4 linked regions of the Mytilus edulis genome follow. The protein of the gene in region 2 binds, or shares a complex with, the protein of the main gene of each other region. Links are inferred from orthologs where the notes say so. Each region holds a gene or a part of one and is shown on either strand. Other genes may lie near its edges. The genes, in order: ropporin-1-like protein, leucine-rich repeat-containing protein 23-like, nucleoside diphosphate kinase homolog 5-like and dnaJ homolog subfamily B member 13-like.

Region 1 (7,581 bases), on a different chromosome or scaffold from region 2:
AGGTTTCTTTAGTTAGACAAATTGTACTACCCCCTCTCCCACAACCCAAAATTAAAATTTCAGTTTCCCTAAATTAAAAAGAAGATATTTTTTATTTTAAATTCCTAATGAAATCATCTCAATATTTATAGTTTAATTAGACAACTAAAAGTGTACTTACGCAGCAGACCATGCTAAAACATCTTTTGGCTGTGTTCTGATTGCAGCTTTTGTAAACTGTTTGAGTATGTCTGGTAGCTGAGGAGGAATGTTAATCTGCTGAGAGCAGTAGTATGGCTCATCTGGATTGGTAGGCATTTTGGAATTAGGATTCTCCTAAAAATTAAAAGGATTTTTTAAAAATAAAATTGAGAATGGAAATGGGGAATGTGTCAAAGAGACAACAACCCGACCAAATAAAAAACAACAGCAGAGGGTCACCAACAGGTCTTCAATGTAGGGAGAAATTCCCGCACCGGAGGCGTCCTTCAGCTGGCCCCATAACAAATATATACTAGTCCAGTGATAATGAACGCCATACTAATTTCCAAATTGTACACAAGAAACTAAAATTAAAATAATACAAGACTAACAAAGGCCAGAGGCTCCTGACTTGGGACAGGCGCAAAAATGCGGCGGGGTTAAACATGTTTGTGAGATCTCAACCCTCCCCTATACCTCTAACCAATGTAGTAAAGTAAACGCATAACAATACGCACATTAAAATTCAGTTCAAGAGAAATCCGAGTCTGATGTCAGAAGATGTAACCAAAGAAAATAAACAAAATGACAATAATACATAAATAACAACAGACTACTTGCAGTTAACTGACATGCCAGCTCCAGACTTCAATTAAACTGACTGAAAGATTATGATTTCATCATATGAACATCAGGCACAATCCTTCCCGTTGGGGGTTTAGTATCATACCATCATAACATATATGAGAAGAACATAACCCGTGTCATGCCAACAACTGTTTTTAAAAGTTTGTTTTTCTAATTTAAAAGGACTTCATAACCAGCAGGATATAAGGAGATACAATGCAACAGCAACCCAATAGGCAATAATAAAAATAACCAATATACATCTAAGAGGAAACAGTACACCTTATTGCTATTTGCATTACTGGACATCACAGCAGTTCCCGTAAAATTTTGATGTCATATGATAATAGAAAATATCTGACGCCACAATGGAAAAGTCAGGGTTCTCGCTAAGGATTTTTGAAGGCGAGTCCAGGGACTCATCATTTTTAGGTATGATGAGTCCAACAGCAAGAAGAAAATATTTTATTGCAATATAAAGTAATATTTGAGTCTCCATTTCCTAACAGAGCAATGAAATGAAATCAAATTCAGATCACTTTTAAACTTTTGCTATAAAATGATGATATTTGTGTTTAACTGTGTTCAGTTTATACAAAATATTTCAATCTTGATGCATCTGTGGACTCACCAGTTTTGAAAATGTGATTGTAAGTCAAGCTGCACAGATTTTCAAATAGAGATAAAATGTAAAAACAATGTCCTAAGCATTATATCAAAATTAAAATTATCAATATACTTTATTGCTATTTGTCCGCAACAACTGAACATGACAAAAGTTCCAGTAAAAATTAAGTTGCTAACCAAAATTTCAAGAAAAAATTCCATTGTTGCCTTTTATGAAATTTGCGCATTGCAATAAATAAATGTATACGTCCTACTTGCGGTAAATTATCCCAAATAGGAGAAGTATTATAAGACATTACATGTATAACATTTGGGGAAAAAAATCCCCAACCTGTGATTTTCTTTAACTTTTATTTTCAAAAGGAGGTCGAGTTACGAGAGATTTCTCGACCTCAAGACTCAAATATGCAAATATCTATACTTTTTCACCTCCTTTATAGGAGATCGATGTTTAACATTTAGTAGCCAACCACTATTTTTCACCTCCTTTACAGGAGATTGGTATGAAGCATTTAGTGCAACCACGTTAACAATCTGAAGCTCTCAGACATTTAGATTACTTGCATCGTAAATGTACAAGGAGTTAGATTATTGTCATTTGTATAAATCATCACTTTTTTCTCATGGTCACATGAAAATCTAAGGCTGTTAGTTGGCACCAGAAGCGACGAAGCAGCGCATATATTTTGGATGGGCAAATATCCACTTTTTGATATGGGACGAGCTCTGACGTTACACGGCCCCAGCTTGTCTGGCAAAACAGCCGTTGGACGTCAGATTTATCTCGGAATAGTCATCAACTAGCAAAGACATGTGTTGATGAATTTTCATACAATGCAGATGTATAAGTACTGAAAGGTTAATATGGTAATATTCTACATTTACATTTACATGTAAAGTGTCAGTGCCAGTGGCGTTAGACTCAACTTAGAGCACTTTTAGATATTTTTTATGTCCCAAAATGGTGTTTTGCATGGAAAATTTATACACCATATCGCTAATCACGGCTGACCCGGCCGCTTGAACTTTTGGAGCATACAACAATCACTTTTCCATTGTGGCGTCAGATATTTAGTTTTTGTCAAAAATTTACGGGAACCTGTGTGATATCCAGTAATGGCAGACAAATAGCGATAAGGTGTATTGATCAGTTACCATATCATGTAAACTAAATGTGTTGTTTCTTTAATCAATCTTATGAGATTTACGTACGCAAATCGTCAAAACTATAAATAATAAAATAAATTCTCTGAAAAAGTGAAATGCTTGAAGTAAGTGAAGACTGCAGATAACAATGGTCGTATTTTGTCTCGGAACTAAATGAAAGCTTTTCGTTATGGCAACAATCAAATTCAATGTTTTTTGTACAATAAGTAAGTATAGGGCTTTTTACCTTTTGAGATCTTGAGACCTGAAGAACTTGAAATAAACACACACTAACTTACCGGATGTATTCAAATGTTGTGATAGCAACGATTGCTCGAAAGATTTCTTCCGGTTGAAGGATCGGTGTCTCCAATGCGCTTAAGATATTGACAATTTGCCTTGCTTCTTCAATCATTTAAAAGCACGCGAACCCGCGAATTTTTGTCGTCTGCTACACGGTCGATTGAAAAAGGAGGGTGGATGCTGGTCGTCTGCGCTATTTATTGAGTTCAGAAATTATCTTTAGGTGCAAGTAACTTCTTTCTAAAGAACAGACAACGACATACAAAGGTATAGTTTTGATGAGGCCAAGGTTGTGTCTTTGAGTGTGACTGTTTCAGCCATCACTCATGTCATGAATCCGTGTTTGATGGAAAATATTAGAATAAGAAAAACTTCATTTTGATTTAACCAAGTTCAAATCCTTGATTTAAAATACAAACATAAGCTCTGGGGACACTCATACTATATGAAAACTATATAAAAAAAAAAAACACACACAAAACAGTGCATCAGAAGATAAGAAAACTTATTTTAATTTGGCATAGAATTCAGGAAGGCATCACCAGAAAATTAAATAAGTCTTTCAAGACATCTTCAGTCTTCGTCATGATGTCTGATTACATAAGTAAAATATACTACGAATCTCCTGTAGTTGGTGATCGCAATACTGGTATACCAGTATTGTCCACAATACTGGTATATAAATTTTGTACCAGTATTGTAACTTTAAAAAAAAACCAGCAATACTGGTACATTACTGATATACCAGTATTGTAGTTGTATTGTTGACTATACTTTAAGGTGTATAATGAAAACTGAATTTTAAGCTTCTTCTTCTGTGGTTTTTTTTAAGCAAGATCAAAGGGAGATTAAATGAACTCAAAAAGATTATAGAGGATAATTGTGAAATCAATTATCAACCATGGCCAGTTAAAATAATAACTAAATAAACAAAATATTACTGTAATTAACTCATATTTTTCAAACAATTGTTAATTATATAAATAATTGCTAATAATTTTATCACATTTCTATATTTTATTTAATTCAATTTAGATAAAATAAAATAAAAGCTTATTATTATCTGAGTTAATGTTAAATAAATTCAAACAAACTATTACACTATAACCATGATAACACTGTAAATTCAGATTTACATAAAATTGAGAAAGGAAATGTATGCCATTTTAATAGGAGATAACTGTATTGTATTTTAAGCTCCGACGGCATCAATTGGGGATTTGATGGTCGCAAATTAAGTTTACTGGTGACACGTTAGCGGAGACAGTAAAAGGGTATTTGCGACCATCAAATCCCAAATTGATGCCGTCGGAGCTTAAAATACAATATTGTTATCTCCATTCTAATGAAACTGACAGAAAATAACGTTAAAACATGTATTTAAAATCTGTCATATGCCGTCTGCGCTTGTGCGTACGTCCCATAGCATCAATTGTCAATTGATGCCATGTAAGAAAGTGACGTTATCCAATCAAAATGAACATTACAAACGTTATTGCATTAGAATTTATATTTTTTACAGATATTTTAATACATGACATTGTATATGATCATATGCATTTGTTGGTCTTTATTTTCACAATAAACAAGATAAAAGATATCAATATCCATTAAACATAAAAATTTGCTTAATAGGGGAACCTGATTATAATCAAAATAACAAGTTTGTCTACTTGAATGTTAAGGGTAGTTTAAAAAGCAATGGTTTAGTACCATTTGGGCAATACAACATTTTGTACAATTTGTAGCAGATATATCTACTGGTACAAATACTCAAAAACTAGTGCTACAATAAGAGTACAATACTGGAATACAATACTGGTACAAAATTTGTATACATGTACCAGTATTGTGCACAATACTAGTATACCAGTATTGCGATCACGAACTACAGGAGATCCCTACTCCTACAATACACCTTTAGGCCATGGAAAATTAATTGTTGGTTTCCCCTTTTAAACATGGGAAAATTTTAAAGACCCGGTAGGCAGGCTTTTGCATATTTTCAACACTTTAAGTTGTCTCTGCAAAAAAATAAATGACCCGGTCGGGTTAGGGGAAACCATCAATCATTTTTCCATGGCCTTATAACTCTCTGGAAATCTCTGCTTATTGACTAGAGAATCTGCATGCAACTCTTGAACTTTTGACATCAGTTTCCCGTAAAACACTGAACAATCGCTTTTCCATATTGGCATCATGTGATTTTTACTGTGAAGTCAAAAATATATATATGCGAACCTTTGTGATGTCCAATTTTGTTGAACAAATAGCAATAAGCATCAGAAAGAGTACATATGATGCAGTCAGCTGGTAAATCATAAAATCCACCCACCTAAGCTAGGCCTCATTTGTTGAAAGCAAATGGTTAAATAATATAGCGGATGAAATATTTAATTTTTTGAAGAGACACTGAAATTTTTTTGAGCCATTGTTCTTATCCTTCTGATCTGTAGCATGCACACATAAAACACAACAAAATAAAGCGAGCAACAATCAAAATTTTAGATATCTAGCAATCTTTATATATAGAAATGAAAAGATGTTCATATCAATCAAGCACAAACTTGAAACTGGCCAAGGGCAAAGTCTATCTCATCACAATATTTTTCATTTCAAAGTTAAGAGTTAGAATATTTTTCTTTTTACAAAAAAAAAAACCAGTATAACCTTTTAGATACTTTATCAATCTTTTTTTGGGTCAAGAAAATACCTTAATACATAGACACATCTTTGAAAGCCAAGGCTGACAATCTGCTTCCTCTCCTTTTGCCTTTGTCAGATTATTTATAATTATATTAAGAAGAAGTTCTGATCCATGACAATCATAACAATCAATTTATTTTGGTTACAATCACATATATATGACTGTATCCAATTAAAAAACGCCTTTATGTTGATCATATGTGAATAGTGACATATTATATAAACAACTGCCACTTACAAATTGTGCCATGTACAAGTCTTTACCCCTGAAACACTAGCTAGACACTATCATGACTATGTAATGACAATATTAATTCTAATTTCTAATCTCAACTCATTGAAAATGTTGGAAAGTTAGCATATGGGACAATATCCCTAATGCGCCTTGAAATGAGGAACTCAAAAGTCACGTGTAAACAAAAAATCTCTGTGTAGTGATATTTGACACATTTCTAATGATAAACAAATGTCTGAGCTGAACCATTTGTGTTAATTTAGAAAGTAAGGGAACACAGAATAAATGTGTAAAAACTATGGAGCCATTAAATGTGTTCAAAGTATTAAATTGTTAAAGAACTTATTGTGTCAAAAATGGGATTTTTTACCATGAGGAGCCACATCGCAAAAGGATACTCGGGGTTTGCTAATTTACGGAAAAATGAATCACACTTCGTACCCCGAAAATTTAACCACATATGTAAAAATGTCTCAGCTTCGAAACACTTAGCCATCATACATATACAAGTTTATGATATGGGCTGAGCAACAGAAGAAAACGTTACCATTACCGCCTATGTAGAAACAATTGCGCATATTGCCCCATATACATTTCTGGTTATTGCTTAATAATTACATTAAATGTATGTTTCACTATAATACGTTATTCTGATTGGCTAACTGTACATCACATGTTATTTCTTAAGCAGTTGTATCACACAATAAAACTTTTCATTCATGATGACACGAGGTCCCACAATAAAGTGCACAGGTAAATGAAATAAAAACTTGATGAAAGGCGTGTTTTCACGATCCTATAGGTAAAAATGTAATTATAAGTATTGAATGCTTTTTTTTGTAACTTTATAGGGTTGTAAAAGCGTTAACCGTGGGCACATTTTTAGTATGAAGCGCTTCCGCGCTTCATACAAAATGAACTTCGGTCAACGCTTTTACACCCCAATAAATTTACAAAAAAGAGCATTCAATTCTTAAATGAAATTTTGTAACACTGATACAACATTTTTTTCAAATCCAAACTGAAGATTATTTGGTCAAGAATAATGTAGTCTTGATTAAGCATGACTTCTATTGGTTGCACGATAGCTAGTGCAAAGCTGTATACACAAATTGTATCTTAACCAGCCACAGGTGAAGATTAGAGGACCAGCTTGAAACCATTGGCTAGAGAAGATGCACAAGACACCCTTGAAACAGAAATAATCCCTCACAAAAACTAAAAAACAATGCTTATAGATACTCTTCTTATTTTATTTTTAGATGTCTACAGCACAGATGCAGAGAACACAGGAGAAGACCAGTACAGTAAGAATTTAAGCTCTATAGACGAGGGTTTTCATGTACACCATTAAAGCAAGAGTAACTTCCCTTTTGTTGCCGTATTGATGTACTGATCACCATGATCACTAGATTAGAAAAAAAATTGTTTTCTGAACGTTTCATTTTTAAGCCTTGCTATATTCATCACTTACACCAACATCTAGATTAGGATTTTTAATCAGACTTGTTTGTTCTGCATGTTTCAATTTGGTTAATCAAACAAGCATTTACCAATCCATCATACAGACAAAGGGAAAGAACTCAAGCGCAAATGATATCATATCCACCCTTAGATCTATACAAGTGCAGTAGATATAAGATGTGGTTTGAGTGACAATGAGACCACGCTTAGTCACAATTTGTAAAAGTAAACCATTATAGGTCAACATACGGCCTTCAACACAGAGCCTTGGCCCACACCGAACATAAAGGGCC
Region 2 (7,856 bases):
CTGTGAGTTTCGTAAGTTGAGAAAAGTACTGAGATGGGATTAATACATAAACTAAGATTTTCATCCATCCTCAGACATAAATGATAAATCAATGACAATGTAATACGAATTAAAGAAACAATGCCGAATGATATTTAACGATAAATAACTGATTCACAGTTTTAGATGCGGATGATTATGTGTGACGGACATCCATATATATGTTTTCTAAGGTTTAAATTTAAATACTTATTGAGACTGTGAAATCATTTCATCATGGTTAATTTATAGTTAAAATTTCACAAATTCAACCAAGATGCACTTTTTTAAAAGAAATTTTAATAGAAATACTTCAGTACATTTTTTATGCACATTTGTTCAGATTATGCAACAAATGATTAATTGTCTTATGTCTCTTAATCATTTAGGTTACAAGCACAGAAAGTTACAAAGTTCATGAAAGGCAATCCTAACGATTTTCAATTTTCTTTTTTTTTTAAGTATAATTATATAAATACCACATTAAATACTGAAATTTATGGAATTTGAAAGGAAAGTTTAAGGGCAGGAAATCTTGTTTTAGTGTTTTAAACTTGTACAACTTCCTTAGGAAATCCAATTAACTAACTTCAAATAAAGCTACTCATATTCATAGTCAAATTTTTGTGAAAAACTTTTTGAATAAGGGGAAATAACTCTGCAAAACACTTTCTTTCCAAATTGATAATAGAAACTCAGCACAGTATGAAGAAAAAATTTATGTTGTACCTATTATTTATTTAAGATGCATACTGTGTGCACAAATGTTTCCTTTAATATATATGCTGCACATTTTCAATAATTATAAACAATTACATGTACTTAAAGCAAATATTTTATCTTATTTATGAAACCCCCAAAAAATTGCTTTACTGGAAATTATGCTTTGCAAATAATATTTGGCAAAAAGCATAAGGGACAGCTTTAATAACAAAGCAAGGGAACAGAGCTATTATCCATAACTTAGCACAAGTAAAGGGATGGAAAGGGGCTTTTAAAGTTATAATCAAAGAGACATGAGTTTCATCTTTAAGCAGAGCTACAGAGCTTTTATCTCAAAGCATTTAGACAAAAGAATTTTACCACAAGGCACAAGGAAAGAGATTTTACCACAAATTTAGAAGGGACCAGGCTTTTTCAAGGTGGTTTTGAAAACTTTAAGCTATTATTCTTATAACACATGTAATAATGTTCCAAATATAAAAGAAACAAGCCAAACATCCATGCTGATGAATTTATATTCTGACAAATTTGAGTAAGCATGTTGATTGCTCTTTAATTAGGAGCAAAAAGAACAGCCAAACTGAGTTGAATCTTCTGCTAAAAATTGCTTAAGTATGCTGGAATAGTTAAAAGGTTTATTCAATTCAAGTCAGAGATGATAATTTGCACATTTTTGCAATCTCAACAACATTATTTCAAAGGCAATGACTGTATATATTATAGATAAATACATACAAGAACTTTTATTTGCACATGCTAAAATTTTCTATTATCCTTCCCTTAAAAGTTTTGAAAAGTTATTACGCCTAAATATATTGTTCAAGTTACTACTAGCAACTGAAGATCATTTGACAAACAACTTACACTTTTAAATCATGTTAGTTAAACATTAATAATATTCATATAAAGTTTAAAATCCATTGAATTTTTGTTATTCTTATGAAAAAGTCCCATATTTTCATCCTTGACAATTTTCTATTACTAAAAATGATTATAAATCTACTCTTTTATTATTTTTAAATTCCATTTTGAAAATTCTTTCGTTACAGTAAACTTCTTAAAAATTTAAAAAGTGGTTATTATATTCCAAAGAAATTAAGTTTTATTTTACAGTTGGGATTTAGCCAATTTTCCGATATGGCTTTAATCTTTAAAATTTCATGTCCCAAAACAAAAGCTATCTTGTTACCATAGTTATTTAAACAGTCAACACTAATAATATTTACCTGTATTTCACATAAAAAGAAATAACAAAGTTACTACATATATATATATATTCAGGGTATATTTATATTGTATTCTGTACCTGGGACAATTTTCATGACTAAACATGCTAAACCTGTTCAGTTAAAGTGGTGATTACACATATCCATGGCAACAAAAATTTCTATACAGGACTTTTCTTGTAAATCAATAAAATTTTGAATTAATCTTTAATTGAGTGTAATATTTAACATGATTGACAATTTACCTTTTTATGAAGGTATCTGAATATTTAATCATGTCATGTTTTCAGATAATTCAAGTTTATCACAGCTTGGTGATTAAATATTAATTCTTTTAATTACATCTATTGTATTATCTATTACAAATTATGAGATTTGTCATTTAAAACAATATTATGAATAACAGTTTTCCAAACAGAATTTACAGTTTTAATTCTTGCAGGATTTTACTGTTGAATTATATCAATTATTTTGGTTTCAATTCATCAGCTGATTTTCAAAGCAAAATCATGCAAAACCAAGGTTAATACATAATTTATAAGAGTCTCTGCATCTCTGCAAAAAGTTGATATCTGAGATCAAGATTATATAGCCTCATCTTATGGTCTATATACTTTTAAGTATATATCTATACAGAATTCTTACAGTAGAGGAGGGAGGGGTATTTTTTTCTTTAAATGTGTTGAGTTGATGGGGTGGATAGAGAAATATCTATGGTTGATCAAGGAGCTATCATAAAGGGGTTAGGGGAGAGGGGACCCTCTTGGATCCCATGAAAGAGCCTCTGATTGAAATTATATGTTGTAAGCTTGTATAAATGTGATTAATTCTTAAGGCAAAAGATGATTATATATTTTTATCTACCACTTTTAAGAACACATTATAGCTTGAAAACTGAGATAATAAGTCCATATTTGTATATTTTTGTGTGTAGCTCATAATAAAATTATAAATACTGATGCAAACAAAGCAATTCATATTCATTGCCATGGGTATAAATTTTCATACTTTTTTGGAGAATCAACTTTATAATTGAGGAACAACTTATAATAGCTAATATTACACAAAACATTGGGAGTTTTATATAAATCCTATCTGTAAAGATACATATATGTATGTTTCTCAAAAGATTATTTTTTACAATTATAGATAGATTTTACCACAATTTTATTACTAATTTTAAGAAAAAATAAAATATGTTAGGAGTTAAGAGTTGTCTTTTTGGCAATCAAACCCCATCTTCTTATTTTAATATATAAATGCAGCTTTTAATTTATCAATCTTTCTACATAATGTTTGTGCATAAAATTTATTTCACTAAGTTTATACAACATAGAAGGCTTTCCCTCCCCCTTTATTACTCAAAATCTATCAGGAGTTCTTGAAAAGGGTCATATGTTTTTACTGCCAAATTTTGCAAATGACCTCCACATTTTGGTACGTATGTTGCATTATAAATAATATGCAGCTATCAATTTCTTTGATTAGAAATTAAAAACTTCACATGTTGGACTTTTCATCTTCTTTCAGAGTTGCTACTCAAGTGTATGTAAATGTGAAGACTAAAGACTAAAGGGAGGGATAATTTTTGGGGTAATGACTTTAAATGTCCAACTTCAATCTGAATCTCAGCCTAGATAACTAGTGCTTTTTCTTTTATTCCAGAAAAAAGAGGGGTCATCTGATACTGGCCGCTGGCTAATGATGTGAGGTTAGTCTGACCTGATTGAGATGATACAAACTTTCCCATATTATTTTTACTTTGTCTACCTGGGACAGCCTTTTGAAATTATTGTTTATCTTCTTGACCTGGGGGGGGGGGGGGTTGTCTATGGGAGGGAGAAGAGGGAGAGATGCATTTTTACTGCACAGAGAAAATTTCTAAATATAATAGCAAATTAGTTCAAAAATTCTAAAACATAGTTTGATTTTAGACAAATATTGAACCAAACATTCTGCCTACAACCTTAATTGGGAGGTACTGAAAATGGTAACTTATTTCCAATTTAAACAAATAAGTAAATATTAAGTCTAATGTTAAGAAGATTAGTTGAATTACACACTGAAGTTGTCAAGAAATTATATAATATCTCTGTTATCATGTCATTCAAAAGTGATCAAGAAATCATCTGGAACTTTTATACTAGTCCCAGAAATCATGCAAAACCATATGAAGGGGCAAACAGAGGTGTTTATGTATAATGATAAATAATTAACAAGTTTTCATGAGTAATTAAACATGTAATAAGGTAATATCAATTGTATATAAATTGGTTTAAATCTATCACCTTTACTTTTGCACGAGAAAAGTGATCACGAAAATTCGTCTGCAATTTAATTTCTCAAAAATGTCAAGTTTTTCTTTTTGCTGTTTATCACAAAATGACAAGGTGTGCTTAATTTGATATGATTTAAAAATTTGGCACTTAATCAAAAATAATAAACCGGCTTGGTCAAACCTTGACATTAAATTTTTTGATAAAACCGTTTTGGGTTGAAAAGTACAAAAAAATGTTTCAACTTTAAATTTCAAGAAACACTTGAAAAACAAAAATATAGACTGTGACATTTTAAAATATCTATATAAATTAAAAACTTAGCTACATACCACATAAAGCAAGGTTATTTTAAGCCAGAAACAACTTTTTGGGGAACAAAATTTGCTAGTTACCTCTGTCCCAAATCATGTGTAAAAGTTGAAAAAGTAATCTCGCTATTTGTCACAGTTCGCGAGATTTTTCGTGAAGTCCAGTTTTCTGAAATTCTCAAAATCAGCCTAATTTACTCCGTGTAACTTTGACTTGAAGTGAACAATGACTTGATTTGTAATCTCTCTTCCTAAATTTAAATCGACTGAACGGGATTTTTCAAGTTTAAACATTTTTACTGTACCGTCACCTTGACAACAATCGGCCATTTTTTGTAATCAAAACATTTACAACGTGTTTTTGGTTTGTGCGGCAAAATGTCAGATAACGAAGCTGAGGAAACTTTTGGAGAGGAGGAGGATAATGCAGAGGAAGCAGGAGGAGAAGAGGGAGATGAGGAAGTTCTTGGTGAAGAGGAAGAAAAACTTGGGGAAGAAGAAGAAGTAGAAGAAGAGGAGGTGTTTATGTGGATAATGAAAAAAGGGGGAGGGGATAAAATACTATATCATAATCATATATATCGTAGTATAGGTGCATGTTAAAGACCGATGTTTTAGATTTATTTGATAACAATAAACATATTTGTTGTACATTGTAGGAAACAATGTGCATGGCCTGACAACATCATCTTTATTTTCAATTTCAATGACAATGTTTACATTTTGTAATTTTTGATTTTTTTCATATTTTATTTTTATTTTTATGAAATGATATCCCTGGTTATAATGGGGTATACAAATGATGTTTACTGCAGTTTTTAGTGCATGTATCTTGTCTCATGTGTTTTGGTACTACAACAGTTCTGCCAACATTTCATGAAGCAAATGCGTGAGATTTGGCCAAAATGGAAAAGATCAAAGAGAAAAAATAATAGATTAAAGGAAAATGCTGCCAAAAAAAGCATGAACATGCGTGAGTCTCACGCTAAATGTGTGAGACTTGGCAGCCCTGCTACAAATGCACTGTGATGTCACAATTTCCTTTGGAAAAACATGCATAGTACATGTAGTATGAAAACATATGATCTAACCATATATTTTCTTTATGACGATAAAAAATTTACATATTTTGAGGAAATAGATAATAATCAGACATCTCTGATTAATCACAATAAGGATATTTTGACGAATCATGATATTTTTTAACCAATTTGATGGTAGAGGTAGCCGAAAATGACAGTTTGGTGTTTGATAGTAAAGGACATTTCTATGATTTCTATGTTCTATCATGATTTCTGAAATCAAATACTATCTATCCACCAGATGCTAAAAAATTATAACGAAAATATTTTAGTTACTTCAATGGCGTACACAATATCAGTAATGAAGTCTGAAATACTGTAAAATTATATTCTTTTTAAAGTAAACTACTTCGAGAAAGAGCATTAACCCTTTCAACGCTATACACGGCATATGCCGCGATGACATACGCCGTCCGCCACTGCTATTCGCGGCATATGCCGCGATGACAACGGATTTTTCATTAGGACTCTTAAACCATTCGATTTTCATTCGGGTCCTCTCTAATTTTTCCTTGTATGAATTGAGGATATGCAAGGTCTCATTTGCGCTTGAAATCCCGGCAATTTTTATTGTAAAATCATGCAGTAGAAGGAAAATTGAAGGAAAATAAAAACAAATATTTTGACAAATGCAAATGGCGGAAATCGGAAACGAAGCTGTAAATATGGAAATATTTCAGCATTTCTATGGCGAAACTGACGACGAGGATTAGTTAAAAGGTTTCTTGTTATCTCAATGTGTTTATTACATTCAATTCGTGTGGGAAATATGATTTGATCGATCATTACGAGACGTAGAAAAAAGGGGGGAAAACGGAGGTTGACTGAAATTTTGAGAACGGAGCCACTGATTTGTGCCACGATTACATAATACGTTGTGTATGGTGCAATACGCTACGGAATCGTGCAATTGGTGTCTTCTTTATTATATGGCAGATAAAACAACAAAATAGATGAAGACTAAAAGTAGTTTTTATTCCAAATTCAACACAAATGTAATAAATTACACCTTTTACCTGTTAATTACCTGAAAATGCAGGTAACCTGATAAAAATTTTACTGAAATAACTGCCTTACATTACAGTTCATACTCTCCTGAACATTTTTCATGCAATAACTTTCTCTGTATCTCTTATAATAAAAAAGATACAGCAGTCTGAAAAAGAATATACTGTTCTAATAAATGAACACAAAAAAAATGCAGCAGCAGCAGCCATTTTTCTATTTTTTTGTGTAGCGTTGAAAGGGTTAATACACTTCATATTTTTTAATCATTTGAATGATTTGATATTAATTGTATCGTTTAATTACAGAAAGTACCAGATTTAGCATTAACAGAGGAACATATAGCAGAATGTTTATCATTGCTTTGTAAAACTGGAGATGGACTGGCTCATGCTTATGTTCGACTAGATGTTCATGATAGGTAAATAAATTAATTTATATAACTTTTCATACCCCTGTCACACTAGAATTGTTGGCTATGTTGTAAATTTATGCCTTGTCTGTCCTTTCACTTTTCTCAAAAAAAAACCTATGCAACAGAACATCATACTTTTTCGGAAGCATGTCAGGGATGAGTTGTAACATTTGAACATTTTTCAGATACATTTATGTTGGTCATTTACTACATTGCTTTAATGCAGACTTTTGCAAAACAATGAAATAGAAAATCAACAAAAATTGGTTAGTCTTGAAGGATTTTTTAAATTTAGTTCATTTATATGTACTCAACTAGTACACAATTTTATTTAGGAGTCAGCTGAGGATCATATCTACCGCAGGATTTTCTCTCTTAGTTAAAGACCCATTTGTGGCCTTGGCTTGTCTGCTCTTTGGTTGGTTTGTTGTCTCTTTGACATATTCCTCATTTTTATTCTCAATTTTACCTACAAAAATATAGAATCAACAGTATTCCTAGATGTTACTGTATGAAGTTTTAATATAATTATCATAAGTACCAGGATTATAATTTAGTACGCCAGACGCGCGTTTCGTCTACATAAGACTCATCAGTGACGCTCATATCAAAATAGTTATAAAGCCAAACAATACAAAGTTGAAGAGCATAGGGGATCCAAAATTCCAAAAAGTTGTGCCAAATAAGGTAATCTATCCCTGGGACAAGAAAATCTTTAGTTTTTCGAAAAATTCAAAGTTTTGTATCAGGAAATTTATAAAAATTATCACATAATGTCATTCCTATGTATACATGTAGGT
Region 3 (7,786 bases), on a different chromosome or scaffold from region 2:
GGGAATATAAAAAAAATTTTAAAAATCTGTTTTGCAAAAAATGGGTGCGGGTGGGTCCGTCGAACAAGGAATCAAATTGGTGTGGCCTAAAGAATCATTCTTCCAATAAGAACATTAGCGTTAGCATTCCACTTCCAACTGGACAACATGCTAAATGAACTAACAAGAAAAACACCCCATTTTTCACTAAAATAAATTTGGAATTGATTTAAAAAAAAAGTCTAACCTACATCCTGGATATTTCGTTATACATAAATTTATATCTGATTAGGGTAACAAAACCTTATTTATCTTTAATGATAGGATTAAAAATTCCTACCTTCATGAAGCAGATCTCCAAGTAAATCATCAAGACCATCAGAACCTTTCTTTCCTTCTGAAATAACATAGATATATATATATATATATATATTATATAGATTATATGTGATAAGAAGGGCTATAAAAGTACATTTAAGTGTAGCTAAAAAATGTTTTATTTAGAATGTTAAACCTTTGTAGTCAATAAATTTTAAAAGACAAATTTAGAAATGATTTCAAAAATGAATAGAACACAAGCATCAAATCTTTTTATTACCATGGTAAAACATACATATTAGCATGTTTATCAATCCATTGCTGATTAGAAATTTAATGTTATTAATACATCATTGAATAATGGAGACAAATAAGTTCTTACCTACCATTAGACAGTTACATAGACTTTATACTCTGAATTTCAAAAAAATGTATTTGTTAGACACTTTTATAGATGTGAAGCATACCGGTACATCGACACCATTTGTGTATTGTAATGTAAATTTTGTTCTTTATATGAGTAATTTTAAATGATAAGCCAAAACAAAATAACTAAATTTATACATACTTTGCTGTTTCTTGCCACCAGGTGTCCAAGCCTAAAATAAAAACATGCATATGGTAGACTTTCACTTATAAAGATCAGATAAAAGGATTTACTATAGCTAAAAGACAACATTTATGTGTGACAGACTTTGGGTTAAATACAAAATAAATATGCAATGAGATTGAAATTACATTAACATTAACTAACAAATTTCAACAACAAATAATAGAACAAATACCCTTTTCAGCCTAAACTTCATTTCATTAATCAGTAGAAATTGTGAATCACATATGCATTGAACAAATTATTTTGCAAATTTGAAAGATTATTTCTATGTTAAAAAAGTAACATTTAATCATTTATTATCATTATCAATCCACTGTAGACTGTTAGAAATTACTTTATTGGTTGTTGGTTTTTTTGCGTGTTTAACATCACTTTCTGCACTGTTGCACTTTTTGATGACATTCAATTTATAATGTGGAGAAAGTTAGTGAGCCCAGAGAGAACCACCAATTTTCAGTAGGAAAACTGACAATCCTTGTCGATTTTAAGATTAAATCCAAGCACCCTATGCCACATGCTGGATTTAAACTTTATGACACATGGGGGATTTAACCTTAAAACAGGCAAGTACGGCAGCAGTTGTAACTATATAGACACGCCTTGTTGATTTATAAGTCGGTCAGAGCCTCCAAGTTGTTGCTACTCTTGCCTGAGTTGTTTGGTACAAGTCAATCAATCCCCAAACTGATGAGACCCAAACTTGATCTGACTAAAAGTAGATCCGTCCCACTTCAATCTGAACCCATGTCAATCCTTCCCCATAATAAGATAATGAATAATCTATGTTAACTTTATAGAATTTGGTGACATATTGGAATCAGGATAAATGGAATTTGTAAAAAGTTTTAAGTATCAATGACAGCAGGTGAGTGATGTATGCCCAATTTGAATAACTATTTAAAATAGATAAGAAAACAAGTGTAATAGATACTATTTATAATGCAAGGAAAATAAGTGTAATAGATACTGTTTATAATGCAGTATCAGCTTATTAATATGAAGTTATTTTCCATGATAACTTTGAATATCCGCAGGAATTTTATTCTATGAAATCATTATAATGCAGCATTCACACAGTATTGATTATGTCTCCTGTTTGAGATAAGACAACGATCAGACAAGAAAAGATACAAAGTAAGATTACTTTCCTTGATCAATCATTGTCAGAATGCAGTGTACTTTTGTTACTGGTTCCTGCTGATCCAGTAAGGTGACGGTCAGGAGAGATCAGGTATGATCAGGAGTGGTCGGCCAAGCACATTGACAGTTATGTGTGTCACATATGATTCCCGGAGATTCAGCCAATTTTGTCAAGAAGGATTACAATTATGACTATGCCATGACAGATAATCTGCAGTTTCGGATCAAAAAATTGAAAAATCAATGATTTGCATTGCTGCTTTTTCCGTTTGAATTTAGATTGCAACCTCATCTTGCCAAATGTGAACAATCTTTTCTGAAATATTTTTTTATTCGGGCCGGATTAACTTTAAATATGGTGACAGAATGTCGTGGACCGGCAGCCTGGGATGGATCGTCATGATCATGATGAAAGCGAGTTGCTCCATAATTGTAGCAGTGGATTAGATGTTATGGGTACACGACAACTCGTACTTTCGGCAAGTCGTACTCAACCAACTCGTACCCTATTTTTGCCAACTCGTAACCATGTTTTATTTGATATTATTTATCAAGTTTATATGCATAGTTATTGTAACTTTCTTTCGTATATCATTATATAGCAAAATACAAATAAAAAAACAACTTTCATTGTTAATAAAATTCAATCATAATTGTTTTAAATAAGCTTATAAAATGCTAATCGTTATAATCATTAGTATTCCTTATAATTGATTGTTTGAAATTGTTTGCACGACAATTTATTTGATATGCACATTAAAATAATTATGAGTACACAATATGCTAATCAGTGGTCATTAGTGGATAACATACCTACAAAAATAGAATGGATTTGTTAAAAGTAGAATAAACAGAGAGAAGTAAATGAAAACAAAAAATCGGTATAAGTGCGGCACTATGATCATCAAAGGCCGTTGAGTTATACTTAAACAATCACCATCCTCACCGAAAAGAAAATGCATGGCTTAAACGTTGTAAAAACCAAGCTTAGAGAAAAAATATATAAACTATGGTGAAATGTATGATCATCTTCAATTGCAATCATGGTTCGTCCACATTGTAATGTATGCAAGACGATATATAAATTGTGTATCTCAATAATATTTTCCCCTAATCCTGTTATTTGGTCCATGTTTGGGGCCAATAAGAGTATATATTTCAAAAAGCTGTATTTGTAGGACCCTTATTACTATTATTAATAGCAACAAAGCCTTGTAAAAATGTCTTACAATGTGTGTGTAAATAATAGTGATACTAGTGGGTTTTTTTAATACGCCTCTCGTAATTCTTCTAAATATTGGCTTAATTTTTATTTTAACTTTTATCATAATTGAGGTCAATACGTATATAAATGATAGTAGTATTGTGATGAAATATACATTTTAAAATATAGTGCAAACGTACATGCAGAAAGATTAGATCAGGTGTGAAGTTGTTTTGATAACGGTTAAATAATTAATGGCACGTTTCGTGTGTGAATAAGGGCCGATTAACTGGTAATCGACATACTTCAGGTGTGAAGCAATGATCAATCAATTAATCACCGGCACGCGAACTGCAATAAATAATTTGTGTATTAAGGTTTATGTTTAAAGGCTGTGGATTTTCTATAAAAATCTTGATTTATTTGCCACAAAGTCCTTTTTTTTTTTGAAGATCTCGTCTGATTGCTTATGAGACAACTCTTCACTAGAGACCAAAATGACACAGAAATGAACAACTATAGGTAATCGTACAGCCTTCAGCCATGAGCAAAACCCACCCATACCTCATAGTCAGCTATAATGACCAGTAAAACAATTCAAACGGAAAACGAACTGACTGCCATGCTTATTTAAAAAAAAAAAAAAAAAAAAAGTGTTAACACATCAACAAACAACGTGTTTATCGCAATATTCAGTAAAAATCTCTTCAAATATTCTAAGGATCGAGCACACCTTGACACTTGAGGATTTTTTTTCAGATACAAATCCTATCAGTAGATAAATCAGTAGGTGAATAATAAAATATGAAGCATTATAATGTTAAAAATATTTTCTACTAACACGAAAAAACTAAGACATGTTCAACGCAATGTTCAGTAAAAAATATCCTTTTCATATTCTATGGATCTACCTCAGGGTGCACTGGGATACTTCAGGGAGTTAAAATATCCATATCTACTGATATAAACGTAGAAAACTTATATTATAATGCTAAAAAAATATTGGGTACGACTTAGAAGAAGTACGAGTTGGTAGAAGTACGAGTTGCCGAAAGTACGAGTTGGCTGAGTACGAGTTGCCGAAAGTACGAGTTGACATGTATCCGATGTTATCATGTATTAAACTCTGATACCAACTATTTAGCATTAGCAACACAAAATGCATATCACAATCGGGAATACATGAGCAATAAATGAGAAATTCTTATTATACTGTTTGGACATGTCATGTGTGTGCATGCAACACTTTTTGTTCTTTTGCTTTGAAGTTGAAATTTCTGAGTTTTAATGCAAAATTTACATTAGCCATGATGTATTTCAATATTCCAATCAACAGAAATGTATCTATAGATGTGCAGCTTTAAACATTTCGTTTATATCTTTCAAACAAAATCATTTTCTTGTAGACATTATCTGCTTCCTTTAGTTTACGTTTATTGTAACATTGGGGAATACGGCTGTTGGTTATTTTAAACGAGGAACCAGTCAGTTCTTTGAAATCTCGTACGGTGCACCGTACGTGAAAATGCGAGATCATAATATATTTCTTAGCAACAGGACGCCATAATATTTTACAAGGGACAAAATGACAGGAGAGAACGAAACAGTTACAATGGATCCACCACATGTTTATGTGGAACGGACATTAGCAATTATCAAACCAGATGCAGTTAATAAAGCAGAAGAAATTGAAGATATTATTTTGAGATCTGGATTTTCGATTTTACAGGTAATTTAAGAAATAAGAAAACATGCTTTCCTATTCCTCATCAATCATCTTGTATACAGCAAAAGCACATCGAATTTTGATTACCAAGTCATTACTTAGTCTCATGTTTCTGTATATGAGGAAGGCGCCATCTTAAATGCAAGCTTACCAAGTCGTTATGTACCTACGGCCTATACATATTTTTTGCCGTAAGTAGAAAGTTTACATAGGATTAAACGCTTTTTCAAAGGAATTTATTGGTATATAAACTCTACCAGTGACTTGGTCCAGTTTATACACCAATAAATTCCTTTAAAAAGGCGTTTAATCCTTATAATTCTTTAAAATTGGAGCTAAGGAATATATTTTTCAACACTCGTAACCTCTATCACACGTAAATTGTATATTTTTTGTCATTGAATAGGCATGGCGCATGAATATATTTGTTGGTTAATGCAAAAATATGTACTCATTTAAATTTGCTATCTGATAAAAAATAAACCACAAAGACTCGAGTTATCATTCAAACAAATGTTTTTGTGTTTATTATTTATTTTAATGAGTACGTGCAGTGAAAATAAATTTTGTTCAAGTCGATGTTATTATTGCCGCCATCTTGTTTACATTGGTTACAAAAAGAAGTTCGGCCAACGTTGCCTATCGAAAAATAAACAACATCAAGATCAACTACCGGAAGTCATCTCCACCAATCATATCAACGTATTCACTAATATGCAAATCATATAATGTAAGAATTATGATGAAATATTTGGAGTCTGTATCCACCTTATTGATATTAAAAGTTCTGTCCCGCTTGTCCCTTGAATCTGCTTCTCTTGAACTTTTGACGTCATACAACAATTACTTTCCATTGTGGCGTCAGAAATTTTCTATTATGACATAAAAAAAATTACAAGAACTTTTATGGCATACAGTAATGGTAGACAAATAGCGATAAGGTGTATTTTTATCTGCTGAAAATAATTTTATTAACGATTAATGAGTCCAAATCATCATGATGTCTTGAAAGGCTATTAAACCTTTTGCTTTGACACACTAGCTATAGAGACTGTAAGGTGTCAAAGCAAAAAAATATAGCCTCTCAAGACATCATAATTATTGTGACAATTGATTCATCTTATTTACAATGCTTACATTCATTATCTTGTGCCATTTTCATATCCATTTTTGCTTCTTTTCAAATATTACAAAATTTAAAACAATAAGACGTTTGTTTAATTTCAAAACAACAATGTACAAATACATGTACAATTCATAACTTTATCAAATTGTTGATTTCCATGAAGAGGTGGAGGATTTTTTTCATCAATAATAGGACAATATTTAAATTTGTATTGAAACCAATGCTTTCTGTTTGTTAAATAATTATTTTATGTTAATGTCTAATTTAGCTGGGTGTTCATATTGTATTCCCATTTTCCTTTAAGGGTTCTTACTAAGGATTTTATTACAGGAGTCCACTGGGAAATCATAATGTTTTGCAATGGCTTGTCAAGCAGTGGGAGGAAGCAATTTTATTGATAAACAATATAATTTCAGTCCCCATGACAAAATGGAGCAAGGAAATTACACAAAATATAAATTATTTTTGAACTTATGTTTTAAAATGATGATACATTTGCTCATTTATAATTTTGTTTCAAATTATAATCCTGAACATGTTACATTGATTATATAATAATATATGTGCTAATTTAATTGCAGAAGAGAAGGGTCCATTTAACACCTGAACAAGCTAGTGATTTTTATGCTGAACATTTTGGAAAATTTGCATTTACAAGTCTGGTAGCTTACATGAGCAGTGGTCCAATGATAGCACTAGTTCTAGCGCGTGATCAGGCTATATCATATTGGAAAGAATTAATAGGACCGACAAATTCTGTAAAAGCAAAACAGACACACCCTGACTGGTATGCATATTAAAATGTTTAAAGAAAATCACAATTGTCATTCTCATATGAAGTTGACATAGTCGAGCTATCTCTCTTTTATTTGTAGTTTGGTCATGGAAACTGTTTTTTATGTGTGAAATGAAATTCAATGGTTTAAAAATAGCAACAAAAGAATATTCTACAAATGTAGTACATATATTGAAGTCATGAAGTGATACATGTTTAACAAATCATATTATGTTAATAAATACTATATCAAATATTGAAAGTTATGTAAGAAATCTGATCTGTTAAAAGGCTTTTAGTCCAATATAAAACCAAATGCTAATACTTGATTTACACCACCTTTGAATTTTAGTTTGAGAGCTATATATGGAGCAGATGATCAGAAAAATGCATTACATGGCAGTGACACTTTTTCAGCGGCAGAGAGGGAAATAAGATTCTTTTTTGCAGACAGTAAGTTGCATGAATACTGTATATCACTTTTTTTAGACACAAGATTATCAACTTCTCTATTTAAGTACAAAATGTAGTCAACATATAGACTAGGGGAAATTATATTTCTGGCCTCAGTTTGATAGTTATAATCATTTACCTACCTTCAATATATGTACAAATGTGCTATATTTACTTAATTTAGAGGGCAACATGACATCTAAAAACCATTTGCTTTGTCCTGAAATAATCAGTTCCCTGAATGTTATTCAAGTCATTTCCAATTAAGTTAATGTTTCAGGTTAAAAAACATGTACATGTTGTACAGGACTGAGGAATGATGATGTCTTTCATAAGATGTAATTAAAATAACATGCAAACTATCTTTCCCATTTTACCATATACACAAAGCCTTTGACAAACTAAGATATATTTTAAATAAGAATACCTTATACATGTATACCTTTATTGTG
Region 4 (7,039 bases), on a different chromosome or scaffold from region 2:
TACCACCTGCAGCAGTCTGCCAGAAAATGATGAGGCAAAAGCATCCACAAAACTTTGTATGGTAAGGTTCAATTATGGTTGTTAAATAAAATGAAGAAAATATTCCAACCAAATAATATATATTTCCTATAAAAGATTGAAACCAAATATCTTTTAATTCCATTAATTATTAATACATTTATTTTTTTTATAAAATGAATGGTACTTTTGTTCCCGTAACATTCAACCGAATCTTGAGATAATTTGGAATGATTATTATTTTCTTCTATCTGACTATGCTAACCATTTCCTGAGCCACAGCATCTTCATCTAGTACAGCTACAAAGTTAACAGATTCTGGACTGTTATTGTAAAGTAATGCACACTGTGTTCTGTCACATCCATAATAGGTACTACCAAACTGTACACAATCTACTGGTGCCCCAGTATCTACAGATAAAACTTCTAGAGCTCTGTCAACTAATCTTCCCTTTATTGTCAATTGTTTAGGTTCTCTTCCTTCTAGTTTAACTCTGGAAAAATGTATTAAAATATAAAAAAAATGTCAGTTTATTTAGAAAAAAAAGCATTTATAATTGCAAATCACTAATAGACATAAAAAAGAGTTTAATAATTGAGATCTAAAACCATGCTGTAACAGATTATACTCATAGATATTTATAAGAAAATTAGAGGGTCTATCAGATCAATCATTGGCATGTCAATTTTTGTCATATTCTGTCGTAAATCAAAAACATTTCAATATTATAACACTTACTGTTACATTGTACATATGTACACCACTTGTCTGTTTTATCTTTTTTGTTTTGGTGTGGGTTTTTTTTTTGTGATATTTTTTTTTTCTCAATTAGAATATTTTAGATATGGAGCATTTGTATTGAAATGAGGCAGCAACCTAATAATATTATACAAACATCCCTTTTCCCATACAGAAATAATTCCATTTATGACTTAAAAGATACTTACCTCACATGCTCTTCTAAGTTTCCAGGTTCTTTTGTTACATATTCAATCTGCAAAGCAAGAATAAGAAAGGATTCGAAAATATTGCTGACACACAAAACAATATTCAAATCATATCAAAGCATTAATGTATGGTATTTTTTCTATTTATCAAAAATATATTGTAGCTAAGAATTTAAGATATATTTTTATTAAAGTAGCCATTACACAACATTTGAACAATACATTAATGTATGTTACTTCTATTTGGAATTTTGCTGCCCTAGGTAATTATGGTAATTTTTAGAAAGTCACAAAGTACATCATCTGGAAATTTTTTTACTCTTGAAAGATACTTAAACCAGCAAAATTGAAACAAATCGTTGTATTTGACAGGTATGCTCCATATTGCATGGTTTGTAGTACATGTATTTTTATTCTTGATTCACATATTTACCTTTATCAACTGTACACTTTTAGGAGGTACATTGCCACTGGTGGGAACAATGGCTAAAGGTTTGTCTCCAGAATACTTCAGTTTAAATTCTCCAGCCTTAGATCCATGATTTGTTAATGCTATTTCTTTTGATATTGTTTTACTGCTAGCTACAAGACTTCCAAAGTCAACAACTTCTTCAATTTCTAGCATAGGCTGCATAGGATATCTATTATTAAATAAATAATCCAATATAGGTCAGGGCAATTAACAATTTTAAACTTAAATTACTGTGGATAATTCCTTTAAAATCAATTGATAATCTGATTTGATAGGAAAAAATGTGATTATTACTGTTAAGTGTGTTAATACATGTAGTCTCTGAACTTGATGCAAGTTCTTCGGTCTTTGTTTGAAGATTCCCCAGTTATTGTAAAGAGTAAATTAATGCTAATAATCCCCCTCCCCCCCCAAAAAAATAACCATTATATCTTTGGAAATTGTGTCTCTGTATTATGATAGACTGAATATCCTTTTTAGTACAAATTTAAATTATTATTTGTGTACAATGTAAAATAAATCCTAACATTAAAATATGAAACTAAGAACTTACGCTATTAATGGTATTTCAGCCACATCTCCATCAATAGTTACAACCAGTCTATCACGAATCTCTTTTGCTTCACTGGTTTCAAATTCAATAATAGCTGGGACACATAAGCCTGATGCCACTGGCTTTGTAGGGTTTTTTACTTTTAGATTGAAGAACTAAAAAAGTAAATATTTCTTGATAAAAAGAACAATTCAATTAATTTTTAACCTTCTATTTAATAGTTTAATATTAGAGAGTAGCAAAAAAAGTATTATAAGTAACATTATAATAGATGCTTCACGAATTTATCAATTTAAGGATCAAACAATGTAATAATGATTTAAATGAAGTTATGAAAACATCAAATTGATGTTTTCATAAAATGTATGTTTTTACTTATCATAACATAATATGAATAAATAAAGTCAGTCATGTCTGCACTTTCAACAAACAGTACAATAAAATATTATATTGTACCTATAAAATTCACTAAGCTTAAAATATTACTGACACAACTGGTGTTAAGTCACATGTGCCCCTCTTGCTTTATGCAGTTTTATATCTTGAATAATTTTAAATACATGTTTTTTTTCTGCATTTGAGTTTTGGAGGATTGTAAATAGACCTTACCCCTATTTGCATTCTGAAACACCTGACTTACGATTATATGAACTGTTGACATTGTGCAAAAAAAATCCCCCCCCCCCCCCCAAAAAAAATAAGAGAATTATGATTTTGACATCTATAGGAAATGTCTGGAACATGGAAAAATATACCCTTTCACAGTTGAACTAGTATATATTTGTTTAGGGGTCAGCTGAAGGATGCCTCCGGGTGCGGGAATTTCTCGGTGCATTAAAGACCTGTTGGTGACCTTCTGCTGTTGTCTGCTCTATTGTCGGGTTGTCTCTTTGGCACATTCCCCATTTCCATTCTCAATTTTATGTTGAATAGGGGGGATATTTTCATAATGGCCATTATGGAGATGCAATACTATGAAAAAAAATATGGGGAAACATCAAGGAAACAGAACAGTTGATTGAAAACTAGCATAGGATTTCCTCTTTCTCATACTTTCTTTTACAGTTACATCATGTACATGTAACATCTATTTCGAAAAAAATATGCCCCTCATACACAATCGCTATTTGTCCGTCATTACTGGATATCACACAGGTTCCCGTAAAAATTTGACGTCATAAAACAAAATATCTGAAGCCACAATGCAAAAGTGATTGTTGTATGCGTCAAAAGATCAAGCGGCTGGGTCAGCCGGGATTAGTGATAAGGTGTATTCGACATGTTCTTAGAATGCAATATATATGTCAAAACCATGAAGTGGCTTTATCATAAGTAGTCTTCATGGTGTCAAAATTGGATCTTAATTTCAGCTGAAATTTAAGGATAATACCTATTGAGTTTCTAAAAGTAAGAATCAATTTTCAAAATCAGGGAAAGATGATGCTTCATTTTTTTGGGGAATTCAGGATAAATTTTTCTAGAACTTAGAAGCTCTGACTTGCTAAAACTGGCTTGGCAATAACCAATGACGAAGACTTGGTTCAGGGTTTATATATTATAGTTTATAAATTAGCTGTTGAATATACTTATGTAAACAGACGACTTAAATCCTACTCACTTTAGATTTTGGTCCATAAAATCGTATGCTTTTACTTGATTTGCTTATGTTTTTCACAGTGATGTTCAGCTCATGAACTGTGTTGACATCTGTGTCAAAGAATTCCAATTGCGGTGGTGAAATTCGGACACCGAACGTGTCACCTTCCATGATGCTTTCGTTCAAAAATGTCGATTATCTTTTTAAAAACTTCAAACTATTACCGCCATATTGTTTGGGAAGGTTGCTCGGGGATTTTTCAAGCAAACAAAATAAAACCGCATTTTCGTAATTGAGTAAAATCTTTAAATTTGTTTTGTTCTATTAAAATTAAAACAATTATGTTTCTTTATGAAGCTATTATATTTTATCTGATGTATCGAATAATCAATTAAAACAAAATCTGACATTAATTCAGTACGAAAATACCGTCAAATAAACTAGCTATACATCGCATAGCAACCACGCCATCTTTAGTAAACGACCCGATCTTACAGTCGTTTCAAAACAAAAATAAACGATGGGAGTCGATTACTACAATATTTTGCAATTAACAAGAAGTGCAACAGATGCAGACATTAAGAAACAGTAAGGAATTGATGTTTTAAATTACAGGATCAAACATAATGTTCCAAATTCATAAGAACTCACTGATTTGTTATTTCACTTTCAATCAGTTTATGTTTGTTTTTTTTTAATTAGAGAATAGGTATCTACAACTATCCACTGAACATCCATTTTTAGTCTGTTCAGTCTTCCATTTGCCAAGTAAGTCTTATTATAGACATCAGCTGTGCCGGCATGCAATGATTATTTGCCTGGATATGGTACCTTCCATGTCCATGGCCCATTGGAATCAGTCATCTATTCTGGTATCATGCCTTTCACTGAAAAAGATATAAGGCCTGCCCGTATCCCTGGTCTTACAAAAGTTTTCGAGCATTTTCGTCATTCTGTATTGTAGGGTGATATAGAATTAATTTATGTTCTATAAGTTCATAATCTTGATTCCCATACAACTGAGGGATGGAAGTCACATGACAGATTCATCTGAAAAACGTATTCCTGAACTGGTTCAGGCCAGATGAAAAAAGTACAAATGAGTACCCCTTTTCTGGGGGTCTCATTGGGGGGTTCTGATCCCGGATCCCGCTTACTGTTTTGTCAGATTCCCGTATCCCGCTTATACTATGTACCTAAGCAATTCTCATTTTTTTGTAATTGCCCGTGTCCCACTAGACCTTAATTCCCGTTTTCACGGCACAATAATTTGACTTTCCCGTTTCACGCTTACAAAAAATCAGCAATCCCGCGTCATGCTTAGACCCACCTTTCTATATTTATTTTTCTTTATTATTTCCTATTCTAACATGACGTCCTTCAAATGCTTTGAGTACACACCTGTGGTTAAATATGAATTTATTGCCAGGGCTGTTCCGATTGTACTCCCATGTCATATGTTTTTTTATGAATGAGATACCAAACGTCATAGAAAGATGACGTATGAATATGTGCATTTTACGGAAAAATACATGCTTTCCAAAACAAAAATCATCACAACAAGGAAACGTAAACAAACAATGCTAAATGTGGTATAAGCCGATTTTTTTAAAACATCATTATGATAAGTAAATTATAATTTAAATTCACCCAAAGCTATCTAGATACGTTATTGTAAAAACTTTAAGCATGTCACTAATTGAGTTTGCTTCGTTCTTTTACGCCAATTTAATAGTGTGTTTATTTATGGGAAAGGCAAATATTTGTCTCCACCTAGAGCGCTTCGATCCAAAACAATAGCCGTATTTGTCTTATCGCTCAGGGTAAAATATTTGTCATTAAGGGCCAACCCGTGGTAATATCACGAAATATTCCATCCCCCATGAATTATTTCTTAATTATACTATACTTACTGTATATAATTTTGGTTGTATCTTATAAAATTACTCGTGTTGTGTGCACCTGCTCAGATTTAAAGTGTCTTTTTTTGCTTCAAATTTATTTTTGTACAAAAATTGTATCCTTTATATATTTAACTTTACTTATATTTTTATTTTTTACAGCTACAGAAAATTAGCTTTGAAATTTCATCCTGACAGAAATGATGGTGATCAAAATGCTCAAGACAAATTCAAACAATGTGCTGAGGCTTATGACATTTTAAGTGATCGTAAGTAGTAAAGTAAAGAAAAACTTATGTACATGTATTTGCATTTGATAAGGCCTCGACAATAAATCACCACAAAGCGTCAACTTAACAAAACTGCTATAAAGTGAGAGTTTTATTGAAATTTTCAGAAGTATATATATATAAGCTGTGGAACCAATTTCATGTTGTTTTTCGTGATATTTTTTTCATACTGATATAAAGAGTTGAATTGTAAATGTTTCTTTTTTTTTCAATCAACCTTTGACAGAATCCATCCGATAACAAGTTTAAACAAATTTTAGGTTAATGTTTTGCTGATTGGTAATAGTGAAATAGGGGAATTTTTTCTGTAGGGTGGTTGATGTTACCTCCGTGTTAGATAAGTTATCTTCTGACAGATATTTTACATTTTTTTAGTTTTCCTTAAATATTTTTAGAGTTGAAACATAAACCATTTTATCGTAATGTATGATCTTTGAGAGGAAGTGAGTTCTTTGTCCAGAAGACATTATGGAGAGGTGAATTTCAATTATAGTTTCAGTCATCAACACCCTTAAAGATGAACAAGTGTATATATTATAAGTTGACTAAAAGATGATCTTAAGCAGAGTTTTTCTGTGTTATATGATGCATGAAGTTTTTTAATACATGTAGTTTAATACATTAATCTTTCAAAATCCTATTTTTTCAGCAAGAAAGCGGGCAGTGTATGATCAGTTTGGAGAAGAAGGCCTAAAGAATGGTGTTCCTCATGGTAGTGGGGAGGCAGGTGCTTGGACCCAAGGTTACACATTCCATGGAAATTCAGAAAAAGTTTTCAGAGAATTCTTTGGTGGTGATAATCCATTTCAAGGTAGGATATAAAATAAAGGCATACAAAGATATAAAATAAAGGCATACAAAGATATAAAATAAAGGCATACACAGATATAAAATAAAGGCATACAAAGAAGGATAATACGATATCAGAGAAATTACCAAAATCTTTCCTTCTTCAAAGGCCTCTCGATCAGGTCCATTTGATTTGTGTCCAAAACAGAAAATTAAACAAACTTACTTATTGAAAATTGCCAATGTATCATTAACCATCCTGATAGACCATAACATGTCATAACAGACCATTAACCTGGTTAATAATATTAATATTAAATACCGATTTTTTTTATTACTTTTTGCAGAATTTTATGACAGAGTTGATGGAGATTTAAGCATGGGATTTGGTGGTTTACAAGGCAGAGGACATAAGAAACAAGATTCACCAATAGAAAGAGAACTTTTCTTGTCATTGGAAGAAGTATTTCA

The links.
Region 1: leucine-rich repeat-containing protein 23-like (region 2) and ropporin-1-like protein share a complex: the UniProt entries of both Homo sapiens proteins name them as parts of the axonemal radial spoke complex. The link is inferred for Mytilus edulis from reciprocal best matches to the Homo sapiens genes LRRC23 and ROPN1L.
Region 3: leucine-rich repeat-containing protein 23-like (region 2) and nucleoside diphosphate kinase homolog 5-like share a complex: the UniProt entries of both Homo sapiens proteins name them as parts of the axonemal radial spoke complex. The link is inferred for Mytilus edulis from reciprocal best matches to the Homo sapiens genes LRRC23 and NME5.
Region 4: leucine-rich repeat-containing protein 23-like (region 2) and dnaJ homolog subfamily B member 13-like share a complex: the UniProt entries of both Homo sapiens proteins name them as parts of the axonemal radial spoke complex. The link is inferred for Mytilus edulis from reciprocal best matches to the Homo sapiens genes LRRC23 and DNAJB13.

Annotation. Positions count from the first base shown.
Region 1 is NC_092350.1:52,033,167-52,040,747, forward strand, and holds the start of ropporin-1-like protein, read right to left. Parts: upstream 3,007-7,581; 5' UTR 2,880-3,006; exon of another isoform or gene 2,828-2,879; intron 316-2,827; 5' UTR 298-315; coding exon 161-297; intron 1-160. Other genes in the region: HORMA domain-containing protein 1-like, read left to right, coding at 7,087-7,131. UniProt on the Homo sapiens protein: Functions as part of axonemal radial spoke complexes that play an important part in the motility of sperm and cilia. Important for male fertility.
Region 2 is NC_092356.1:18,674,141-18,681,996, reverse strand, and holds the start of leucine-rich repeat-containing protein 23-like, read left to right. Parts: upstream 1-4,853; 5' UTR 4,854-4,932; coding exon 4,933-5,073; intron 5,074-6,949; coding exon 6,950-7,062; intron 7,063-7,856. UniProt on the Homo sapiens protein: Essential for sperm motility and male fertility. Plays an important role in the proper assembly of the third radial spoke (RS3) head and the bridge structure between RS2 and RS3 in the sperm flagella.
Region 3 is NC_092352.1:35,868,189-35,875,974, forward strand, and holds the start of nucleoside diphosphate kinase homolog 5-like, read left to right. Parts: upstream 1-4,783; 5' UTR 4,784-4,839; coding exon 4,840-4,983; intron 4,984-6,687; coding exon 6,688-6,893; intron 6,894-7,233; coding exon 7,234-7,334; intron 7,335-7,786. Other genes in the region: fas-binding factor 1 homolog, read right to left, coding at 320-376, 866-896, 4,555-4,563. UniProt on the Homo sapiens protein: Functions as part of axonemal radial spoke complexes that play an important part in the motility of sperm and cilia. Does not seem to have nucleoside diphosphate kinase (NDPK) activity.
Region 4 is NC_092353.1:43,375,970-43,383,008, forward strand, and holds the start of dnaJ homolog subfamily B member 13-like, read left to right. Parts: upstream 1-4,023; 5' UTR 4,024-4,108; coding exon 4,109-4,176; intron 4,177-5,651; coding exon 5,652-5,758; intron 5,759-6,428; coding exon 6,429-6,590; intron 6,591-6,915; coding exon 6,916-7,039. Other genes in the region: cilia- and flagella-associated protein 47-like, read right to left, coding at 284-512, 967-1,013, 1,400-1,607, 1,992-2,146, 3,610-3,759. UniProt on the Homo sapiens protein: Functions as part of axonemal radial spoke complexes that play an important part in the motility of sperm and cilia.